Nothobranchius furzeri: one gene and its partners. The protein of the gene in region 3 purifies or fractionates together with the protein of the main gene of each other region. This does not show direct contact. Links are inferred from orthologs where the notes say so. Each region holds a gene or a part of one and is shown on either strand. Other genes may lie near its edges.

Region 1 (4,163 bases), on a different chromosome or scaffold from region 3:
GTACCAAAAATGTTCAGTATATAGCCCAACAGGCGAGCAGAAATCTGCTGCCAGCATCTCGCACATCCATGTGGAAAAAGGAAAAATCAACAGAAGCTTTGCCAGAGCAATAAAAACTGGAATAACATGTCACCTTTAAAGCTTGTTGACTTTTTAATCACAGCAGCAATCATCGTCCATTCGCTCCATTTTACTCCCATCTAAGAAAGTCACCCCTGACGTAACTACCTTGACATTGTACAAAGAAGAGGAAAATGTAACGCAGCTATGGTAAGCATGCTGGCAAACACTGGTGGATGGTTATAATCAGCTGAGACATTAACACATTTCATCAGAGCTCAGCTGCTTTGGATCGTAGGAACGTTACTGCGGTCAAAGTTGAAACAAAACAAATAAAAGTGGCATTTACCAGTATTGGTTTTTTTTTTTTGTTTGTTTGTTTTTCTCAAGTACCACAATCACCAAATAATTCTCTCTTAAAAAACGTTTTAAAACTCAACATAGGTGTATACTTGCACATCATCTGGTAGAAAGAAATTTTTCTCAGTTTAATAATCATTTTTATTGTTTTTGCTCTAAAGAGAGAAGTCTGGAAATCTAAACAAAGGAAAAGAACTTTGTGTTCTTTCATCTGGCGGACAAAGAGAGACAAGATGTGACTCTAATGACTTAAACACTTGACTCTTGGACCAACAAACATGTTAAAGGCTTTGGTTTTTATGTTTATAAGAAGCTTTATAAACTAAGATAAGAAATATCTCCAGTAAAGGCAAAACTGATCAGAAAGCAGCCTCGCGAACACAGACTTTACTGTGAACTCGCTTTAATAAAAGCAGCTCTTATTAGTAGATTTATTTTCCGTTAATTACACAGAAGGGTCCGTCATTCTTTGCAGATATCACGAATGAGCAAAAAGATGCTTCTCTGCATAAAAAGAAGACCATGTAAATAAACCTCTAATTATTAAACGACAGGCTGAGCAGCAGAATCCTTGTTTTGCATACTGATCAGGAAATAGAATTTGAATCGTTTCTAAATGATTTCTTATGATGCTGAGGCACTTTCCATGCTCCTCATCACACAGGTTGAAACCACAAAGAGCCGTCTTGACTGGCATCACTTTACCCCGCATCCTCACTTTTGTACTTGTATGGAAAAATACAGTTTTTATCCTGAAAAATGTCCCAAAACGTCCGTCCATCAGCAGCTCCACCCTTCCCCGTGTCTTTTAAATTCCACGGATGTCATTTCAGATGTAACTCATGTAACTCGTGTGTCCATGTGTGTGTCTGAACACAATGTTCCTTCTATTCACAGTTCGCCACCGGCAAAGCCCAACAGCGTTCATCAACCTTAAACCCCCCTGATGCACCAGCTTTAATTTTATTTAACAAAAAAAAGGCAAATAAGCTGTTCTAATTTGGTAAATTTTGCATACACTCACATTTTTTACCCCCCACATGATTTAAACTGAGATAAACCAGCGTTGTGACTGCTTATCATCACTGATGATTGCAGACAAGTAAAAAGTTACTCATCCCATCATTGTGATCTCGCCCTTCTTTTTGGTGTATTTCTGTCATCTCTTCCTCGTAAATAAAATATTGACACTTTGCAAAAGCAGAAACAGGGTGTAAATTGTTCCAGCACTGATAAGATGGTACGTAGGCTTCATGTACCAATAACTAAGATGCCCTGCGGAGGAATGCAGGAACAGAACACAATGAGCCAAAGACCACATCCAGAGACGCACACAGTGTATCTGTACATTCTGTTTCACATCCGTACTCTGTTGCTGATTCATACCTAACAAGTGGAGACTCACTGATAATCCTGCACACACAGACACCCCAAAAAAACTAAACTTCTTTTATTAACCTGTTATGGTGCTAAGATTATGATAATAACTTGATATTTATAGATGTCTATCATAAAAATGCTGTAATCATTAAAATCTATTTGTTTTCCAGGCAAAAATTATGCCTGACCTTAACTTTTATAAGTTGTTAACTGACAAATAAACTTTATTTTTTTTCACCTGAGCTGATGAAAATGTGTGCATTTTTATTAGATACTTATAGAATAGTCCTGGCTGGAACTAATTTTGGAGGACCATTTTTGTGCTTATCCCCTCAGCACCTGGTGTCAACCTAAACATTCAGAGTTCTTCACAAGCTGCTCAGTAATATGTAACCAGGTTGTAATGAATCAGCTCAGAGTCGAGTTGAGTTATAATTCTCAGAAGTAGCCTGCACAAAACCCCTGTAATTTATGAAAGGGACACCTAAGCCTAGAGGGATCCTGGATGAGAACATCCACCAACCTCTTCTGGGACCTTCACAAGAAGGCTAAGGACCACATTCAGCCAAAACCTATCCATCCTGGCTCACTTTCCCCCCTCCTTTAAATAATCTTGTATATTCTTATTCTTTAGTGAGACTGTGCACAAGTTCCGTTTAACTCAGCCAGGCGTGAACGAAATTTAAAAAAAAAGATTATTTTAATTAACTCCTAAATTAAATAAAGTATTTCAGAAAGATGAAGATCTGTGTATTAAAAGAGACTTACGATGTTTTGAGGTCCGCTTTTTTATTTTCTTCCCCCAGATGGTTGCCGGTGACGAACAGCTGCAAATTCACTCGGTGGATGTTTATTTCTAAGAAAATGCGTCTTCCTATCTCAGATCCAGCAGGGTACTAAGTGTTCTGCCCATGTGGTTCTTAGCTATGGACTCTTTTTGTCTTTATCCCACCCCCCTCTGCTCCTTCTTCCTCTCCTCAGTGATGAAAGTACCGGTGCGGTCGCAACACGCAGCTCTGACTCCAAAATGACACTGAGGAGATACTACAGAGACAAACTCGCACAAAAATGACAGAGGCAGGAGGAGGCGAGGGGGGTGGAGGGGGGTGGCGGGGGTAAGCAGAAACGAGATGAGTTGTGGGGAGGGTGTTTAGTGTAAAATTAAGGGCAGGTCTTGGAAAGCAGCCACAAAGTAACACAATGTTCCGGCTGTACTGTAGCTGTGCCGCTGCTGATGAGAACACAGTGTTCCAACAGACACCCTGACCTGTAACCCGTTCCGTGCCAGGCCGGGCGGGAACAGCCTGTTCCGCTGCAGCGTGTTCCTCCTCTCTCCGCTCAGCGGACAACACATATCAACAACAAGAGGAGCTGTCTCCGTCTCTCTGTCAGTCCCAGCCGAACCGAACCCCGTAGCAACACGGAGACGTGTCAAAGCACCGACACTGACGTACACCTCTGAGTCCGATGAGTCGCGCGGTTTGACGGATTACTGTTTCTGAGGGAGACGGTAAAAACTCCTCCGCCTTTATCTTAGTTTTTTTTATTTAACGCTGTAGTTACCGACAAAAGCGCGACTTTAGTAGCTGTTTTGTGCGATGATGTGCTGTTATTATTAATTAATGCTCTGTTATGGCTGTTATTTGAACACGAAAGGGGGAGTTGCACCAGCTATATTAGCTTAAGGCTAAACTTGCACAGGTGTTTTTAGCTAGCTATTGAGAATAAAAGCCTAACCGGTGCAGCAATACGTTTATTTGTGCTTTCATTTCCTAAATTAGGACTTTAAAAGAGAATGCCAACAGGAACTGTTTTGTTAAACCAATAACTTGAGTCGTAACTTAACTTTTTCTGCCTGATTAAGTTATTATGTCAGATTAGCATTTTGTATTAGGGAGTGACAGATTATCCCTGCCAAGAAGTAGGATGCTGAGGTTCAATGTAATTTTATATTCTCCACCCAGGAACTAATTAAATACTATTTAAAGTAATTTAACATTCACCAGGCTATCTTTTCCATTTGTTGTCACCTTACACTAAGAATAAGTTATGTTACATGCTAACTTTATACTTCTAGTTAATACGTAATTGGATTTTGAAGCTATTGAGTTCATTATTGAAAAGTAACCATCCAATTGACTATGCAATGAAATATAATTAAAAAGCTTCTAGAAAATAATTATGGATTAAACTGCCCTAAACTCAGCATGAAAGGTAAAAAGATGAACCCATCAGGTAATATGCAAGATTTCTAAACGTACGTTTCTGAATTTACTTTTAAATTTCAGTAAATATGAATGCATCGACTCTTGCATCCGCAGCAGAGTAATTTCACTTTACAGTGAGCACATTGTTCCATGGAT
Region 2 (4,111 bases), on a different chromosome or scaffold from region 3:
AAGAAAATCAAAACTCAGTCACGTTATAAATCAAAAAGGTACCTGGTGTCTCCATCTGAAGAGGCTGGGTGTGTCAATGTTTGGGTGGGTATCATCTTCATCGTCCGAGACCTCAATGTGATCCCACACGCTGTAATCTATCCTGGACATCCTGTAAACCAGAACCTAGCTTGTTTTAAGAGTTCGATAATTTCAATTAAAACTCTCGGAAAAACAAATTCAACAACACTCTGACGCTTTCCAAAGTCTCCGAAAGATGTGTTAACTACCAACGGCGCATTAGACTGTAGTCTTATCAGAAGGGAAGGAGCTGGACTGTCTCAGCGACAGTTAGCCAAATGCTGCTACAAAATTCTAGAAAGATTCGCTGCTGCAAGCTTCCGCTACACGCCTAAACGTCATGACGTAAAAGGCACGTATGACGCAGGTGTTGTGGTAAAAAATGCACTCGTATGTGCCTGCGACCGTATGTTAAACTTACTAGAAAAACCAAGTTTTTCACAAACGCACCCCGTTAATAAACAAGTAAAGATGTATGAGTTAAAGTTCGGTTTCGAACAAAGTCTGTTTGACACAAATGCCTATACGAACAGAGGGGCTTTTTCCGGCACAACACCATGAGTTACAAAAGTGAACTGAACAGATTTCCTTCATTTCTTTCTTCGTATTTTTACTGTAGTTACTCAGATTTCTAAACAACCGAAATATCGTTTCCACTATATAGATACCATTTGTGTAGCCTACATAAAAACCATAATGTCTGATCGTGTACCAATCCATCCTTATCCTCATATTATTGCATATAGTTAAACCTGGTTAGCAGCAGATTAGTCAGAATGTTAGTCTGTTGTACAGATTATAAAAGTATTTACATCACAACTATTTTTGTAGTTTCTTTACAAGACGTGACTTCTTTTTCTCCACATTTGTGCTTTGACTTTCTTTTATTTATTAACTTATTATTGTATGCTAAACTGAAAGTACTATAAAATATCAAGTATCTTACACAATTATTTTTCAGCTAATCTAAACATTTCTGTAAAACTTAAAAAAGCAAACTGTTTTTCTCTACCGAATAAAACTATCTTCTTGGACTTTTCCCCCTTGTCAAACATCCACAGACTGAGGCTGTTTTCTCAGCGAGACATCTTACCTTCTTTACTGGACCAAGAACAGAGGCTGAGAGGTCTTGATGATGGTATAGTGTTCAGCTTTTTTTTTTTTTTTTTTTTTCATTTTATTTTTTGTTATTCTTTGGATGGAAAAACCACAAGTAAATGTTTAGATATAAACTAGCAAACGCTTCTCAAGAAACAATAATTAGAGCTGACCCTGAAAGCTGACTGGAGATCCAAACAAGCCAGTATTCAGTATGGCGTCTTAACCAGTGATCATCCAAATACCAAAAATCTGATTGATTTTTCATTAAACATAAACAGCCCAAAATAGTAGTATCAGCTCAGCAGGTCAGGGTTGAAAAAGAAATCTGCATGTTGGCCCTTAAATCCAGAATCAGCTCATCTCTGGAATTGTTAAATTTTCTCTTGTTTCGTTTGCTTTCAGCCCTTCATCCACCCAACATGGACATTCTTATAAGTGCCAGTAAGCATTTTGTTGGACACATTCAATTAGAATAAATCTAAATGATTTCAAGAGTTTGAAACTGGTAATCTCAATGTTTGCACTGTGAAGATGGAACCTCGACGTGATCAATAATTTATTAATGGATGACTTTTGCAATGAATTTTAGTATTTTGTTAGCAATGGTCAGTTTTAAAATAGTATGTGTAATAATAATAGAATAATTGCTCTCTTTATCAATCTGTTTAGGAAGCTTCTAAAGAAGTAATGACTGAAGGATGAAAGTTGGTGTTAGGATGGTGTAATATGGAACATATTATTGCCACACATGAGATTGTTTTTAGAAATTAAATGTTTCTGAAAATACTTACAGTGTGTTCTATATGTGCATTACTCACAAGCATGATGATAAAAAAACCTATTTTTACAGACCTGAACAGGGACATGAAAACACACACAAATAGACAAAAATATAGATCAGTTAAATGTTTTACCTGGTGATCGTGAATCGTCACGTTTACATTAACCCAGAGCTCTGAGCAGAATAAACACGAGGAGAGCTGGGACCACTTTAATATAAATATCAGGAGTTTAGTTTGGGTCTGCCACCAGAATCACAGTCAAGATGTCTACTATCAGTCTTTTAATGTATTTGTTTCTGTAAGCAAGCATATTTATAACAGTCTCACGCATGGACGTAATTTTCACTTTAGAAGTGGGGGGGACACGGGTGTGTGTGTGTGTGGGGGGGGGGGGGGGTATCTTTACAGTATGCTCTAATGGGAAACAGGCTTCAACACAAACAGTTGTTTTCCACTTGGTCCTAGAGCTCAACCAGTGTGAATTTAATATAGCGTAAAATTGTTTTTGGATGGTAAAAAGTGCAGGGGTCAAAACTTGACTTTGGAAAAAGTGGGGGGGACATGTCCCCCTGACCCCCCCCCCCCCCCCCCCCAAAATTACGTCCATGGTCTCACGTGATCTTCAGCTCACTGGCATGCAAAGATTCGATCATTTTAACACGATCAGAGGGCGGTGGACATAACCTGGTTGTAGTTAATCACACTGCCAGGGAGGAGTGTTATCTTAAAGCTTTACACGTTTACACGTCCAGTGTTAAGTTTAGTGTGTACTTTTATGATAATTATTATGATACATGTAATAATGAATACATTCCAACGGTAAATGCCAAACACACTGACATTTGATTGAGATGTTTTTATGCGTTGCTCTTGTTCCCCGTTGGTTTGGACTCCCTAAACCCGGAGCAGCAGATGGATTTCCCGGCCTGAGCTTCACAGCACCGCCGCATCTCTCGGATCACATTCTCACACAAACTCTCCGAGTAGTTGTTGGCTGCAGGAGTGGAACGGAGTTATGTGACTGTGGGGTTCGCCCGCTGTCTAGCAGCATTTTCATCTACATTTAATGTACCTTGCAGACACTTTTGAATAGCACATGCCTGTTTTTGACACGGATCTTTCTCCGGCATGCCTGAAAGAAAACGCAGCAATAGTGTAATCAAATTTTAAAGCATCAGGATACCCAAAAGGAGCTAAAAGCCGATTCCCACCTGGACGTCTTAGCTAGTGCGATGCATTCTCCTCTCGCGAGAGTGATCATGTGACGCAACGAGATCTAATCAAATCCGGACAATGAACAACAGCGACCTCTGGTGTTGCAAAGGAATTTGACAACGTCGCCTTGAAAACCTAAATGTAATTCCAAAATGTTTTGCAGTAACCGAACATAAAATGTATTTATAGAATAATTTTGAATATTTTTTTCATTAACTAACCTTCAGAAAGTATAAATTTACATTTTAAAGAAGCCATAATCTTTTGGTGGGAGGTATTTTTCACAAGTACGGAAATTTTGTTTATTTATTTACATTACTCAGAACTGGCACTAATAACTATCAAAATACACGTTTAAAAATCAAACCATAAAAAGAATTTTTTGTTTATTTAACTTTATTTATAAAGATAAGAACATTTAGAAACAGTTCATATTTACAGTAACTTCACATTGTTAGTCATTGGCGTATCAAGGGTAGTTATACTTTGTCAAATTATGATTTTCTTTACTTATTAGATCATTAAAAATATTCTAGTACATATATAATAAGGGAAATTTTATTACATAAAACAACAACAGTAGACTACGACAAAAATCAACCTTCACATAATAAATGGCGTTTGCTAAACATCTTCATTTGTCTTCTTTGTGAGATCTAACTCTGTATGATAACAGAATACATCAAAACATCCACTGATTACTGAATGCTTCCATCTCATGAGGCAGCAGCAATAAAACCTGCTCAGTGAAATTCTTCCAGCTGATTCAAGTCCTGTTAGTGGGCCTTAAACACCTGAACAACAGAAAACAAATTAGGATGCAGAGTTTTACTTGCAGATGTAGTTCCTCATACTTCCCCTTTACCTTTGGTCTTTGCTTTGACAATGAACTGTTTGCTCTTCTTTTCCAGCGTGTTTGAGGCAGCACAGGTGTATGTCCCAGGGAGAAGGGA
Region 3 (3,500 bases):
AGATTGATTTCCAGTTGAGATTTGATGTGTTTACAAAGTGTAAAGTGTATAGATATGTATGTATATACTTGTACAGTCACACATAGATACCACCTGTATGTATGTGTAAATATTAATCTGTGTATGCATCTACGTAAACCTTTTCAAACATGCTTCTGTTGGCAGGTGAACGTCCGACATGAACAGACTGTGTACGAGGTTCTTGATAAAGCCCTCAAGGTTCGAGGGCTGAATCAGGACTGCTGTGCTGTGTTTCGTTTGTTAGAGGGGTAATATGTCCTCACTTACTTTTCCACATCTACTCTTGATTATTTTAACCCTTTGGTGCATAATGGTCACTACAGTGGACAGGTACTCAAAACTGTTATTTATTTGTTTTTGCTACTAAGCTCAGCTGTTGAAGACTTTATTGCATTTGAGCCGCTCCATTTGGACTTCAGGAAGCCAAGCCAACATATTTCATGCTCAGAATGCACGCTGTCCACTGAGGTGAACACGTAATAAATTATTTGTAAATTATAAAATTTGACAAAAAATATTTGTTGAAATTTGTTTCATTCACACGTAAAGACGAATGAAAAAAATTGTTTAAAAAATCATGGTTGAAGATTTCATAATTCATGCATCAAAGGGTTAATCAAACCACCCTCAGTGAGAGGAATATGTTGATGACACCTGATTCTCAGTGATGTATTAGGTCTGAGCAGCACGTGTTCAGGAAGATCGTAGCTTTTGAGTGTTTGACTTGAGGCTTCGCCATGGTCGGGCAGTGTCCTGAATTCCTTTATATTTAGCCATGAATGCTACTGCTACCACCACCAGTACTACTACTACTACTACCACTACCACCAACACTACTACTACTACCACTACCACCAACACTACTACTAACACTACCACCGTCACTACTACTAACACTACTACTACTAACACTACCACTGTCACTACTACTACCACTACCACCAACACTACTACTACTACCACTACCACCAACACTACTACTACTACCACTACCACCAACACTACTACTACTACCACTACCACCAACACTACTACTAACACTACCACCGTCACTACTACTAACACTACTACTACTAACACTACCACTGTCACTACTACTAACACTACTACTACTAACACTACCACTGTCACTACTACTAACACTACTACTATTAACACTACCACCGTCACTACTACTAACACTACTACTACTAACACTACCACTGTCACTACTACTAACACTACCACCGTCACTACTACTACTACTACTACTACTAACACTACCACTGTCACTACTACTAACACTACCACCACCACTACTACTACTACTACTAACACTACCACCATCACTACTACTACTACTACTAACACTACCACTGTCACTACTACTAACACTACCACCACCAGTACTACTACTACTACTAACACTACCACCGTCACCACTACTAACACTACCACCACCAGTACTACTACTACTACTAACACTACCACCATCACTACTACTACTAACACTACCACTGTCACTACTACTAACACTACCACCACCAGTACTACTACTACTACTAACACTACCACTGTCACTACTACTAACACTACCACCACCAGTACTACTACTACTACTAACACTACCACTGTCACTACTACTAACACTACCACCACCAGTACTACTACTACCACCACCACCTCTACTACTACTACTACTACTACTAACAACACCACCACCACTACTACTGCTATTACTACTACTACTACTACTACTACTACTACTAACACCACCACCACCACTACTACTACTACTACTAACACCACCACCACCACTACTACTACTAACACTACCACTGTCACTACCACTAACACTACCACCACCAGTACTACTACTACCACCACCACCTCTACTACTACTACTACTACTACTACTAACAACACCACCACCACTACTACCGCTATTACTACTACTACTACTACTACTAACACCACCACCACCACTACTACTACTACTACTAACACCACCACCACCACTACTACTACTACTACTAACACCACCACCACCACCACCACCACCACCACCACCACTACTACTACTACTACTACTACTATTACTATTACTACTTCCAATACTACTACCACCATTACTATCACTTCTACTACTACTTCTACCACCACCTCCTCAAGGAGGTCAATGGTCAACTTTCCTGGAGGGGTCACCCAATAGGACAGTGGGAGAGTTAAATATTTATATTAATATTTATGCATTGTTCGTGTGTGTGTGTGTGTGTGTGTGTGTGTGTGTGTGTGTGTGTGTGTGTGTGTGCGCGTGTGTGTGTGTGCCTGCTCTGTCTTCTCGATCCCCAGTGAGTCGTGGAGGATGGCTGCTTATACTGAGCGAGGATCCTCTGGAGGTTTCTTCCTGTTAAAAGGGAGTTTTCCTCTCCACTGTCGCTGCATGCTTGCTTAGTATGAGGATTGCTGTAAAGACTCTGACACTAGTCAGTGACTCGATGCCACCTGCTGGGTTCCTTATAAAAGAAACTTTTTACTGATTGGCTTAATGACCTGACCTGTATTGGAATGTTTACCAAGTGCCTTGAGACAACTCGTCGTGATTTGGCGCTTTATAAATAAACCGAATTGAATTGATTAGGACTAAACGCAGACGGGTGTGGCGACTCCTGAAGGAAAAAGACAAAAGAGAAAGAAATAGTTTTTCCTTCTCAGAATGAATTAGAAATGTCTTAAGTTTTGGTTTTAGAGGCTATCAGTCTCTTCTAAACGATTTGGGATCCTTTGAAAATCACGTGATTGGATCGGAACATCCCTACTTTAAACTATTTGTTCGCTAAAGCCTTATGAATTTGATTACTCATTGTTACTGTCTACTAACGCCTTATCGATCCAGCGTGAGCAGATGCCTTTTTAGATGGTCATCAGTAGAGTGAAGTGAATTCATGTGTTCATGTGGAATGCTGCCCAGCTCCTAGTGTGTGATGCTCTGTTCTGGTCTGGTTCCACAGCCGTAAGAGACTGACAGACTGGAAAACTGACATCACTCCTTTGGTGGGAGAGGAGTTGTTAGTGGAAGTCCTGGATGATATTCCACTCACCATGCACAACTATGTGAGTCCTAGCAGCTTCTGCAGCCAGTATTTATGATCCTGTCTTTAGTCTTAAAGACGTTGCTGTAGATGAGTGGTTTCATGCTGTGGTTCTCTTCAGGTACGAAAGACGTTTTTCAAGCTGGCTTACTGTGACTTCTGCCACAAGTTTCTTTTCAATGGCTTCAGATGTCAGACGTGTGGCTACAAATTCCACCAACACTGTAGCAGCAAGGTCCCCACCGTCTGTGTGGACACGGACATGAAAAGCAAACGGTGAGATGGACTCGAAGTCTATGAGATGATCATTTAGGTTTTGCATTGGCCCTAAAACACTCAGGGTCCCCCACTTGTCTGTTTGTCTCTGTGGGATGTCTCTTTGACGGGTTTAGAAACGCATTATACTCT
Region 4 (4,235 bases), on a different chromosome or scaffold from region 3:
AGCAACCAAACATGATCTTTAAATGCAAAATACAGCAATGCGTCCCTCAGTTTATAAAACACACCAAGCCAATTCAGATGAATCCACCATTTAGTTTCAATACCTTCATGTTCTTTGAGAAAGCCTCGTAGAATTTCTTGTAGTTGTCTTTGTCCTCCGACAGTTCTGCAAACAGCTCCAAGCACTTCTTGACTATGTTTTTGCGAATAACCTTCAGGATCTTGCTTTGCTGCAGCATTTCTCTGGAGATGTTGAGGGGCAGGTCCTCAGAGTCCACAACACCACGGATGAAGTCTTGAGTGGACAAAGTAATTTTAAATGCATTAGCCATTTAAAGAGTCTGTGGAATCATTTCAGACCACAGTGGAAAATGCAGCTGAACTTACTCAGATACTCAGGAATGAGCTCCTCACAGTTGTCCATGATGAAGACCCGCCTGACGTACAGCTTGATGTTGTTCTTCTTTTTCTTGTTCTCGAAGAGGTCAAAGGGTGCACGGCGAGGAATAAAGAGCAGGGCTCTGAACTCCAGCTGGCCTTCCACAGAGAAGTGCTGAAAGAAAATAAAGCATTAGAAAAAAAATCAGCCCGCAGGGTTAAAACTTTGTCGGAAACTCGTGTACCTTGACAGCCAGGTGATCCTCCCAGTCATTTGTTAGACTCTTGTAGAATTCACCATATTCTTCATTTGTGATGTCATCGGGGTTCCTGGTCCAGATGGGCTTGGTCTTGTTCAGCTCCTCCTGATCAATGTACTTCTCCTTGATCTTTTTCTTCTTCTTCTTGTCCTTGTCTTTGGAATCCTCCTCATCATCTGAACCCACATCTTCAATCTTGGGCTTGTCTTCAGCTTCTTCTTCTTTCTCCTCTTTCTCGGTCTTTTCCTCCTCTGCCTCGTCGTCACTAATCTCCTTGTCGCGCTCCTTCTCCACCTGCGACATAAAAGCTTTAGAAATCTGCCCAAGACTTAAAATTTTTAAAACGTACTTTTAAGCACTTACAAACAAGGTGATGGGGTAGCCAATGAATTGAGAGTGCTTCTTAACGATCTCCTTGACCCTCTTGTCCTCCACATACTCTGTCTGGTCCTCCTTCAGGTGCAGAATGATCTTAGTTCCACGGCCAATGGGCTCGCCTGAAAACATTTGAGGAATTTTCAGAAAAGCTAAAATAAACTAGAGTAAGCAAGTAGTGCACACTCAGACGTCACTGGTGATGGTTAGAATTACACACCGCTGTCAACCTTGACTGTGAAGGAACCTCCAGCAGATGACTCCCAGGCGTACTGCTCATCATCATTGTGTTTGGTGATGACGACCACTTTCTCAGCAACAAGATAAGCAGAGTAAAAACCCACACCGAACTGACCAATCATTGAGATGTCAGCACCAGCCTGGAGGAATAAAACAAATTTAGCTTCACAAGATCAGTCAGTCTCTTAAGATCCTGTGCAGGCCATTATGGGATGCGTAGTACCTGGAGGGCCTCCATGAAGGCCTTTGTGCCCGACTTGGCGATGGTGCCCAGGTTGTTAATAAGGTCAGCTTTGGTCATGCCAATCCCGGTGTCAATCAGGGTCAAAGTCCGGTCAGCTTTGTTGGGAATGATGTCAATTTTCAGATCTTTGCCAGTGTCCAGTTTTGAGGGGTCAGTCAAGCTTTCATAGCGGATTTTGTCCAGAGCCTGAAAACAGGGAATAGCGGTTAGTTTCTTCCTTAAAGTCAGAAGAATACTGAAGCTTCAGCAGACTCACATCAGAAGCGTTTGAGATCAACTCCCTAAGGAAGATCTCTTTGTTGGAGTAGAAGGTGTTGATGATCAGGGACATCAGCTGAGCGATCTCTGCCTGGAAGGCAAAGGTCTCAACCTCCTCCTCTTGGTGCATTTCTTCAGGCATCTGAAAATATAACAAAGTCACTTCAGTAAATGAAAGTGAAACAGAACTTAAGATAGTTTCAAAGTAACGCGATTTCGTCAAGTGGCTTCATTAAGTTGGATGGCCGCTGCAGCAGTCTGCTACATAAGGGCGGAAGTGTCAGTTAACAAACATGGCTTCTACTAGACAATGGACGCAGCAAACACGTGCTGGCGAACGATTAAGGCGGATCAACTCAAGTCACTTTAATAGATAAACAATGCGACGACGACTTCCATAAATACTACAAACGTACTTGTTTTAGCCTCCATGTGATAGTTTCAGTAAAACGTGGAGGTTAATTGAAACCGCGTTCAATTACGTAACGACCAAATGAACACTACCCCTCGTGGCTGGTAACCAGGCCTTATTACGCACACATTAAACTCAGTGTACCGGTTTAACGTGGGTTTATAACGGATTTAATCAGGCCGAGAACTCGATCCAGCGGAGTCACCGTCACCACACCTGCCTGACATCACGGTGCCGCATTCCCGCTGCTCAAGAGCATCACTACGATGCTCGGAAACATAAGCAAATAGTAGTCTCTCGAGAGGAAAATGAAAACATCAGCCGACGTACTAGGCGTCTGTCTTCCACGAAACACTTATTCGACCACCATATTAACCTCTGGATTTTCATTAACTAATAATGTTCGTTAAACACATACATACCGATGATATTTTAACAAACTTATAAAGGTAAGGATGTCTGACACGAGCTACGGACCCGTTAATGTACGCACCTTGGTAATTTCGTTGACTTTTTCTTGAATAAAATGCAGCAAAAGTGTAGTCCCTTGCGCTCCCTGACTGAAGAAAAAGGAAAGGAACTACTTTTCGGCACCAGACCAGTCTTTATACACGTGGGTCGCAGTGTGCAGTCGTATCCATCCGCAGTTCACGAGCTACAACCTGAAGCAATCACTTTTATGTAAAACCGCAGCCAGAACTAAACACACATTGTATGCTTCCTCACTGGAAAAGAATAATCTATTATTCACGTTTTGTTGGGTAAAAAGGGTTTAAATGCCAATTATGCAATCTAAGTAAAGAAAATGTATACGAAGTCGGACCTTAGTGTAACGTTGTCGCCATCTTGTGGTAGGTTGAGCTACAGCAAACCATGCACTGAGAGGCGATGTTTTTTGATCTCAATCATCCCATCTAGCGACAACATAGAGAAATGATTCGCATAACACTAAAACCACGCGTCAAGTTCAAATCTCAAGTGGCGTCTAGTTTCCCTGAAATTCGACATAGACTGTGGGTCTTTTTACTCCGACGGATGAATATTTCAAACACGAGAAGGTGTGCTTCGTTTCTTCTAGCCTGCTTCTAGCACTTTCCATGAAAGCCCCGCCTTAAAGTGACGTCACAGATCTCCCCCTTTCCTCTCCCGACGTATCATCTGTCACAAAATGTTCCTACAGCAAAAACGCCTTAACAACCATCAACTCAACCCTTTTCCGTACTGAATCATGAGAATATATGCTTTATATTGTCAAATGAACTAATGGTTGTTATTATATGAATTACAGATTTTCTTATGGACATAGAACACCAGTGGAAGATGGACTGCTATACATAAATGTAATACTATATTTGTCATGTTGATCACGACTTTGGAATTGAGTTTTTAGTACAGTGTAAGGGGAAGAAGTCACTGTTGTCAAGTGGATTAGAGTGGAATAAATGTACGCAGTTAGACCCATCAAATGCAAGAGATGCACAAATGATTATGATTCAGCTTTCTATTATGTAGTTTAACTACAGAAGACACATTTATAAATTTAGATAGTAACCTCAGTGATAAATAACAGAAGTACAGTCATACTTTGCATACAGAATATGTTATTTATTAGTTACAATTTCAGAATTGGTAAGAATGACCATTTTAACAATAATGTACACAGAATTTTTATGTACTCTTTTAAAAAACATTTAAAAAGAAGTTTAACATTGAAATAATCATATGATGGCTTTATCCTCTAATTGATTAAAACGAGTAGGAAAATCACAATGCTGTTTTTTTATGTGATCAGATGTTTTGTAAATTAAACCGATTAGAAACAAATCGTTTTAATAAAAAAAATGCGGACCGCTTTTTTGGTGTAACTTAATTTCAATGCTATTATTATTCAACCTTTTTTATTCATTTAGTTACTACCGCGCATTAGGTCTTCCAAGGTTAGTTAGGTAATCTGATCGAACCCTGTTAGCAGAAGTTTCGTTTCCTGAAAAGGGTTCATTTTGCGAATTCACATTAAGCCCCGTTCAGTGTATACACTCTGGTGCACAAAACAAGCGCGCCAGTACTCT
Region 5 (4,059 bases), on a different chromosome or scaffold from region 3:
AATTCGGTATGGCATTTTCCCATAAGACCTCTCCTTGCTGCTTCAAGCAGAGTCCATCTGAAATTAATTAAATGTGTAAAAGCTAACTATAGCTTTCTGTGAGGTTAGTGGAATTCAAGACACCTCGGCAAAGGGTCTCAGTGACCCCCGTTAGCTTTTGTGCCCTCCAGTTTTTGGTGATCCATTATCTTGATGTTCTTTTCGGCATTTTCAACGTTCCTCAGCAGAGTCTCCAGCCTTCGCTTTATCTTCTTCTGGTCCTCCAGAGCGCAGCTGATCACCACGGTCTGAAACTTCTGGTCAATAGGGACGAGCGGTGCCTCCGTGACGCAGGCAGCGTGCAGGGCCAGCAGCTGCTGACGGCCACCTTCCATGTCGCTCAGCAGCTTTTTCACAATCTCGTCTATCATAGACGTGGCCTTGAGTAGTGCATCCTCCTGTTGGGGGTTTCTGATTGTGCCAACAGAGATCTCCACAGACAACGTTCGGCCCATCAGACGGTTCGCAGTCAAAGATAACTCTTCCCTCTCACCTAGAAGACATGTAAACATATTACTAAATCTTTATAGGAAAGAAACTGCTTTTAATGCGGCTGTAACAGCACATCAATAGTCATTTCATATTTCTAAAAGTTTATTTCAATGAGTACAAGCTCTGATTTGTCTGAGATCCCACCCCACACCATAATACTGCCCCCACTGAAACCTGTTAAGCAATATTCATGATGTTCTCCATGATTCTGCCAACTTGTCAATAATAACAAGCTGACACCAAAATACCACTGATATTAATTGGAAGAAATGAATGCAATAACATTTCCAAACATATTTTTTATTGGGATGGACGATGTTTCTCTGGAGCATTTTTTGCCATATTGCTTGTTATGGTCATCACATCGTACAGCAACCAATAAAGTAAATGCTTTGTCGAAAAACTAATAATTTTCATTTCCTCTGAAACATGCAATCCCGTTCTTAATGACTGAATCATGATCCATCCATCAAACTCCCCTCTGACAGTCCCTCCGCTGTATGCGCATACCCGTATTTGTGGATGTATTGCGCATTCTTGGCTTAGAGTAGTTGAACAGGAAGCAAAGTCGGAGCCGGACTGCCTAGTGTTTAACGGACAGAATGTTCGGTTATGTTTGCAAATTTTATTCAAAGATTAGGTTATAACTCATCTTTTCTTGTCATCTAGAATCTTCTGGTGCTGATCTGTAACAGGCCCTTTTGCGCCATGAGAATCTATCGTGGCTGCAGGAACTGAAGTAGGGATAATCCCAACCCACCTCCCCACCTAGTGGACACTTATATTGTGTAATGCCTGAAGTCTGTTGCATCTCTGTCGGAGGTGGGTGTTTTTTTTTTTTTTGCATAGCAAAGCTGCCTTCCCAGTGGAGGGTAACTCTGAAGTGCCTTTTTTTCCCTCCACCTGAACCAATCCTCATGTAACCCTCTGATCTCAATTAGCACGACTCAGGGTTGCGAATGACCACAGTCACCAATTCTTGTCATATGTCTTGCCCATGTATGTCTGATCTCTGAATTGTGTGTACTGAAACTCTAATTTCCCTCTGGGATTAATAAAGTATCTTTGATTTGATTTTGATTGACACTCACGGCAGTGACTTTTGCTTACAAATGTGGTCTGCAGTAACCAAATTTGACCACAGGATGTCAGTCTTACATAATGCACCTTTACATAAAGCCCTTCTTTCAAATCCCTGACCAGTTGAGAGGAGTTTCTAGGTGAACCATGGAGCTCGTGTGAATCATACTAACTTACATTAATGAGGTTTAATGGAGCATAAACCAACATGACTAGACGGTCTACCCTGGTCAGACTCTGGATTTAAATAATGAGCTTTAAGGGTTAGGCCTTTTTGTCTGTTTACAGCGGAACCAAATCAATAAACCAGATGTAGGCTATTGACTCACACGATCCAGAGGTGAAACATGAGCCTGGTTCACACAAACTGGGTCTGGGTGAGATCAGAGGAGATGGGATTCTGGTAGAAATACATTAACCGTACTAGTTCCCCTTTATAACCGCGTATCTTCCCTGGCATTAAGCCGTGCGTGACTTTTGCGCTTATGTAAGTTAAGAGAGAGTTAGCAGCTTCACCAGCACAGATGTTCCTCATTTCTTGACTGTTCTGTATGGACTGAATCATTTCCAGGATGCACTCCCTTTCCTGCTCCATGGCAGATGCTGCTTCTCGTAAAGCCTCCACTCTGACACAGAAAGAGAGACAGCATATGAAATAACACGCTGCAAACCAGTTATGTTTGTTATGAAAAACATTTATTGTCACATTGCCCTGTTTACAGTGTTTATAAAAGGTTTATGCCAATAAATGTTAGCGGCCGGGGCAAATAGCGGCTCCGTAGCACACATGGTACAACAAGGGCCTGTTACCTCGTTTCCAGCTGATCCAAACTTTCCAGGAGTCGCCCCGAGCGGTCTGCCATAGAAAGCGTCCTGCTGAACTTGCTGCAGAGGGCAGCTTCGTTCATTTTCGCTTGTATTTTCGCTTGAGCCATAATGAAGACGAAGATGATGGCTACAGTGCTTTCCCTCGGTGAGCGCAAAATCCAGTGTGTGTCCCTCCGAGCCGTCCAGCTGGGTGTAAATCCTCGGACTGAGGCAGGCAGCAGCAGCGCCCCATGGGGGGAACATTTCCTAACATGGACTTCCTTCACTCCGGCAGAAAGTTCCCGAGGAGACCAGAGCTGGAGCTCCCAATCGTAAGGAGCGTGGACCAGCAGAGGTCCGTGAGCAAGCTCCTCCAGGTCCACGGAAATAAAAGACCTATAATGTTCCAACTCACTTTGCAGTTTTAAGTAATGTGTCTTGATTTATTTGGGCATAATTTTTATTAGGCAGATTGGTAAAGTAATCAAGTTATTCTGATAAACTTATCCAGGCCTATATATATATATATAATTCATTTTCACTCCAGACTACAGATGAAAGCCTGTGGTGGTCTGCAACCCGCAACTCTGGAGCCACAGTGGACCTTCCAGAATGGCTTTTACTTTATAATAATCATAGATATAATAGAAAAAGTGAGATTTAAGCAGCCTTTTGTTATGGATTAATTGAACTGAATTCCCACAACGCAGTGACACCTGTCATCTAGAGGTGAAAACTGCATTACACCCCTAGGCCTCTCAGTTTCCATGATTATGGCCTTTTTATGAACAGTCATGTTGTGCTGTTTATCATGTATATTTTAAAGACTTACTTGTCCATAAGAAATGTTACCAACTCTGCATCAGTCTGGGCTCGTCTTCCCTCTGATCACCTCTCCGTCCAATCTTCTTTTCGAGCTCCCCATGTGTATGTCGTTTGATGGCTTCCGGGGGAGCTGATTACCCTTTTGGGGGAGCCGTGATTTCAACCTCCCCCAAAAATCGCCAAGAAAATTTCAAAAAGATGTATTGCCTTGGTTATCACAGTACAGGCTTTTATGGATTAAAAGAAAATCATAAATAATTCTTGGAAGGGGGGAAACTCCAGGTTGCTGCTTTAAAGTACCCATGAGATTTTTACATCTATTTTTTAAAAATAATTTCCCTAAATATAAATATCTGGTACAAAAAATACATTCATACACTTTTGGCAAAAGTTTTCTTCCTAAACTCAAAATCTAATAGGAACAAAATGGTGTAAATATTTATGAGACGTCTAACCTTAACCTCAGAATTCTGATTATTTTTCCCTCAGAAAAGAGAAAAAGAACTTCTTCTTCAGTGGCCCTAATCCTTTTATGTAAATAGTTCAACAATTATAAAGATCTTGTTTCAAAAGGTCCTGTAACAGTTACCCATGGTCCAGAGAAGCTGTGGTGGACGTCCCTTAAGGTGGCCACCCTAATGCGTCATTCCCTGTTTTGGGGACATTTATAGAAATGATTAACAAGAATTATTTTGGGGAAAACTACATCCACACAAACAAGGTGATCCCAAACCGACACAAGCAGATTTCACAAGCTCTTGAAAAAAATTCCATCTGTTCATTAGAAGTTACCTGTTAAACTGTAAATCAGCACAA

What was found. Proteins that work in one complex are often made in the same cells at the same time.
Region 1: the proteins of araf (region 3) and fkbp5 purify together in Homo sapiens (affinity purification with mass spectrometry; 4 studies listed by BioGRID and IntAct, with this or other methods). This does not show direct contact. The link is inferred for Nothobranchius furzeri from reciprocal best matches to the Homo sapiens genes ARAF and FKBP5.
Region 2: the proteins of araf (region 3) and cdc37 purify together in Homo sapiens (affinity purification with mass spectrometry; 7 studies listed by BioGRID and IntAct, with this or other methods). This does not show direct contact. The link is inferred for Nothobranchius furzeri from reciprocal best matches to the Homo sapiens genes ARAF and CDC37.
Region 4: the proteins of araf (region 3) and hsp90ab1 purify together in Homo sapiens (affinity purification with mass spectrometry; 5 studies listed by BioGRID and IntAct, with this or other methods). This does not show direct contact. The link is inferred for Nothobranchius furzeri from reciprocal best matches to the Homo sapiens genes ARAF and HSP90AB1.
Region 5: the proteins of araf (region 3) and bag2 purify together in Homo sapiens (affinity purification with mass spectrometry; 3 studies listed by BioGRID and IntAct, with this or other methods). This does not show direct contact. The link is inferred for Nothobranchius furzeri from reciprocal best matches to the Homo sapiens genes ARAF and BAG2.

Annotation. Positions count from the first base shown.
Region 1 is NC_091743.1:66,802,749-66,806,911, forward strand, and holds the start of fkbp5 (peptidyl-prolyl cis-trans isomerase FKBP5), read right to left. Parts: upstream 2,801-4,163; 5' UTR 2,569-2,800; intron 1-2,568. UniProt on the Homo sapiens protein: Immunophilin protein with PPIase and co-chaperone activities. Component of unligated steroid receptors heterocomplexes through interaction with heat-shock protein 90 (HSP90).
Region 2 is NC_091745.1:3,429,164-3,433,274, reverse strand, and holds the start of cdc37 (hsp90 co-chaperone Cdc37), read right to left. Parts: upstream 2,801-4,111; 5' UTR 2,786-2,800; coding exon 2,784-2,785; exon of another isoform or gene 2,778-2,783; intron 2,014-2,777; exon of another isoform or gene 1,953-2,013; intron 394-1,952; exon of another isoform or gene 152-393; coding exon 43-151; intron 1-42. Other genes in the region: cmc4 (cx9C motif-containing protein 4), read right to left, coding at 2,801-2,937, 3,016-3,073; uncharacterized protein, read right to left, coding at 3,945-3,952, 4,024-4,111. UniProt on the Homo sapiens protein: Co-chaperone that binds to numerous kinases and promotes their interaction with the Hsp90 complex, resulting in stabilization and promotion of their activity. Inhibits HSP90AA1 ATPase activity.
Region 3 is NC_091757.1:26,534,323-26,537,822, reverse strand, and holds part of araf (serine/threonine-protein kinase A-Raf), read left to right. Parts: intron 1-165; coding exon 166-269; intron 270-714; coding exon of another isoform or gene 715-782; intron 783-936; coding exon of another isoform or gene 937-1,080; intron 1,081-1,731; coding exon of another isoform or gene 1,732-1,856; intron 1,857-2,576; coding exon of another isoform or gene 2,577-2,669; intron 2,670-2,909; coding exon of another isoform or gene 2,910-2,947; intron 2,948-3,011; coding exon 3,012-3,114; intron 3,115-3,213; coding exon 3,214-3,368; intron 3,369-3,500. Other genes in the region: sericin-1-like, read right to left, coding at 715-782, 937-1,080, 1,732-1,856, 2,577-2,669, 2,910-2,947. UniProt on the Homo sapiens protein: Involved in the transduction of mitogenic signals from the cell membrane to the nucleus. May also regulate the TOR signaling cascade. Phosphorylates PFKFB2.
Region 4 is NC_091742.1:8,415,726-8,419,960, forward strand, and holds the start of hsp90ab1 (heat shock protein HSP 90-beta), read right to left. Parts: upstream 2,801-4,235; 5' UTR 2,660-2,800; intron 1,897-2,659; coding exon 1,753-1,896; intron 1,683-1,752; coding exon 1,476-1,682; intron 1,393-1,475; coding exon 1,233-1,392; intron 1,135-1,232; coding exon 1,001-1,134; intron 932-1,000; coding exon 623-931; intron 553-622; coding exon 387-552; intron 295-386; coding exon 104-294; intron 1-103. UniProt on the Homo sapiens protein: Molecular chaperone that promotes the maturation, structural maintenance and proper regulation of specific target proteins involved for instance in cell cycle control and signal transduction. Undergoes a functional cycle linked to its ATPase activity.
Region 5 is NC_091752.1:19,643,860-19,647,918, forward strand, and holds the start of bag2 (BAG family molecular chaperone regulator 2), read right to left. Parts: upstream 2,801-4,059; 5' UTR 2,547-2,800; coding exon 2,422-2,546; intron 2,238-2,421; coding exon 2,128-2,237; intron 533-2,127; coding exon 138-532; 3' UTR 1-137. UniProt on the Homo sapiens protein: Co-chaperone for HSP70 and HSC70 chaperone proteins. Acts as a nucleotide-exchange factor (NEF) promoting the release of ADP from the HSP70 and HSC70 proteins thereby triggering client/substrate protein release.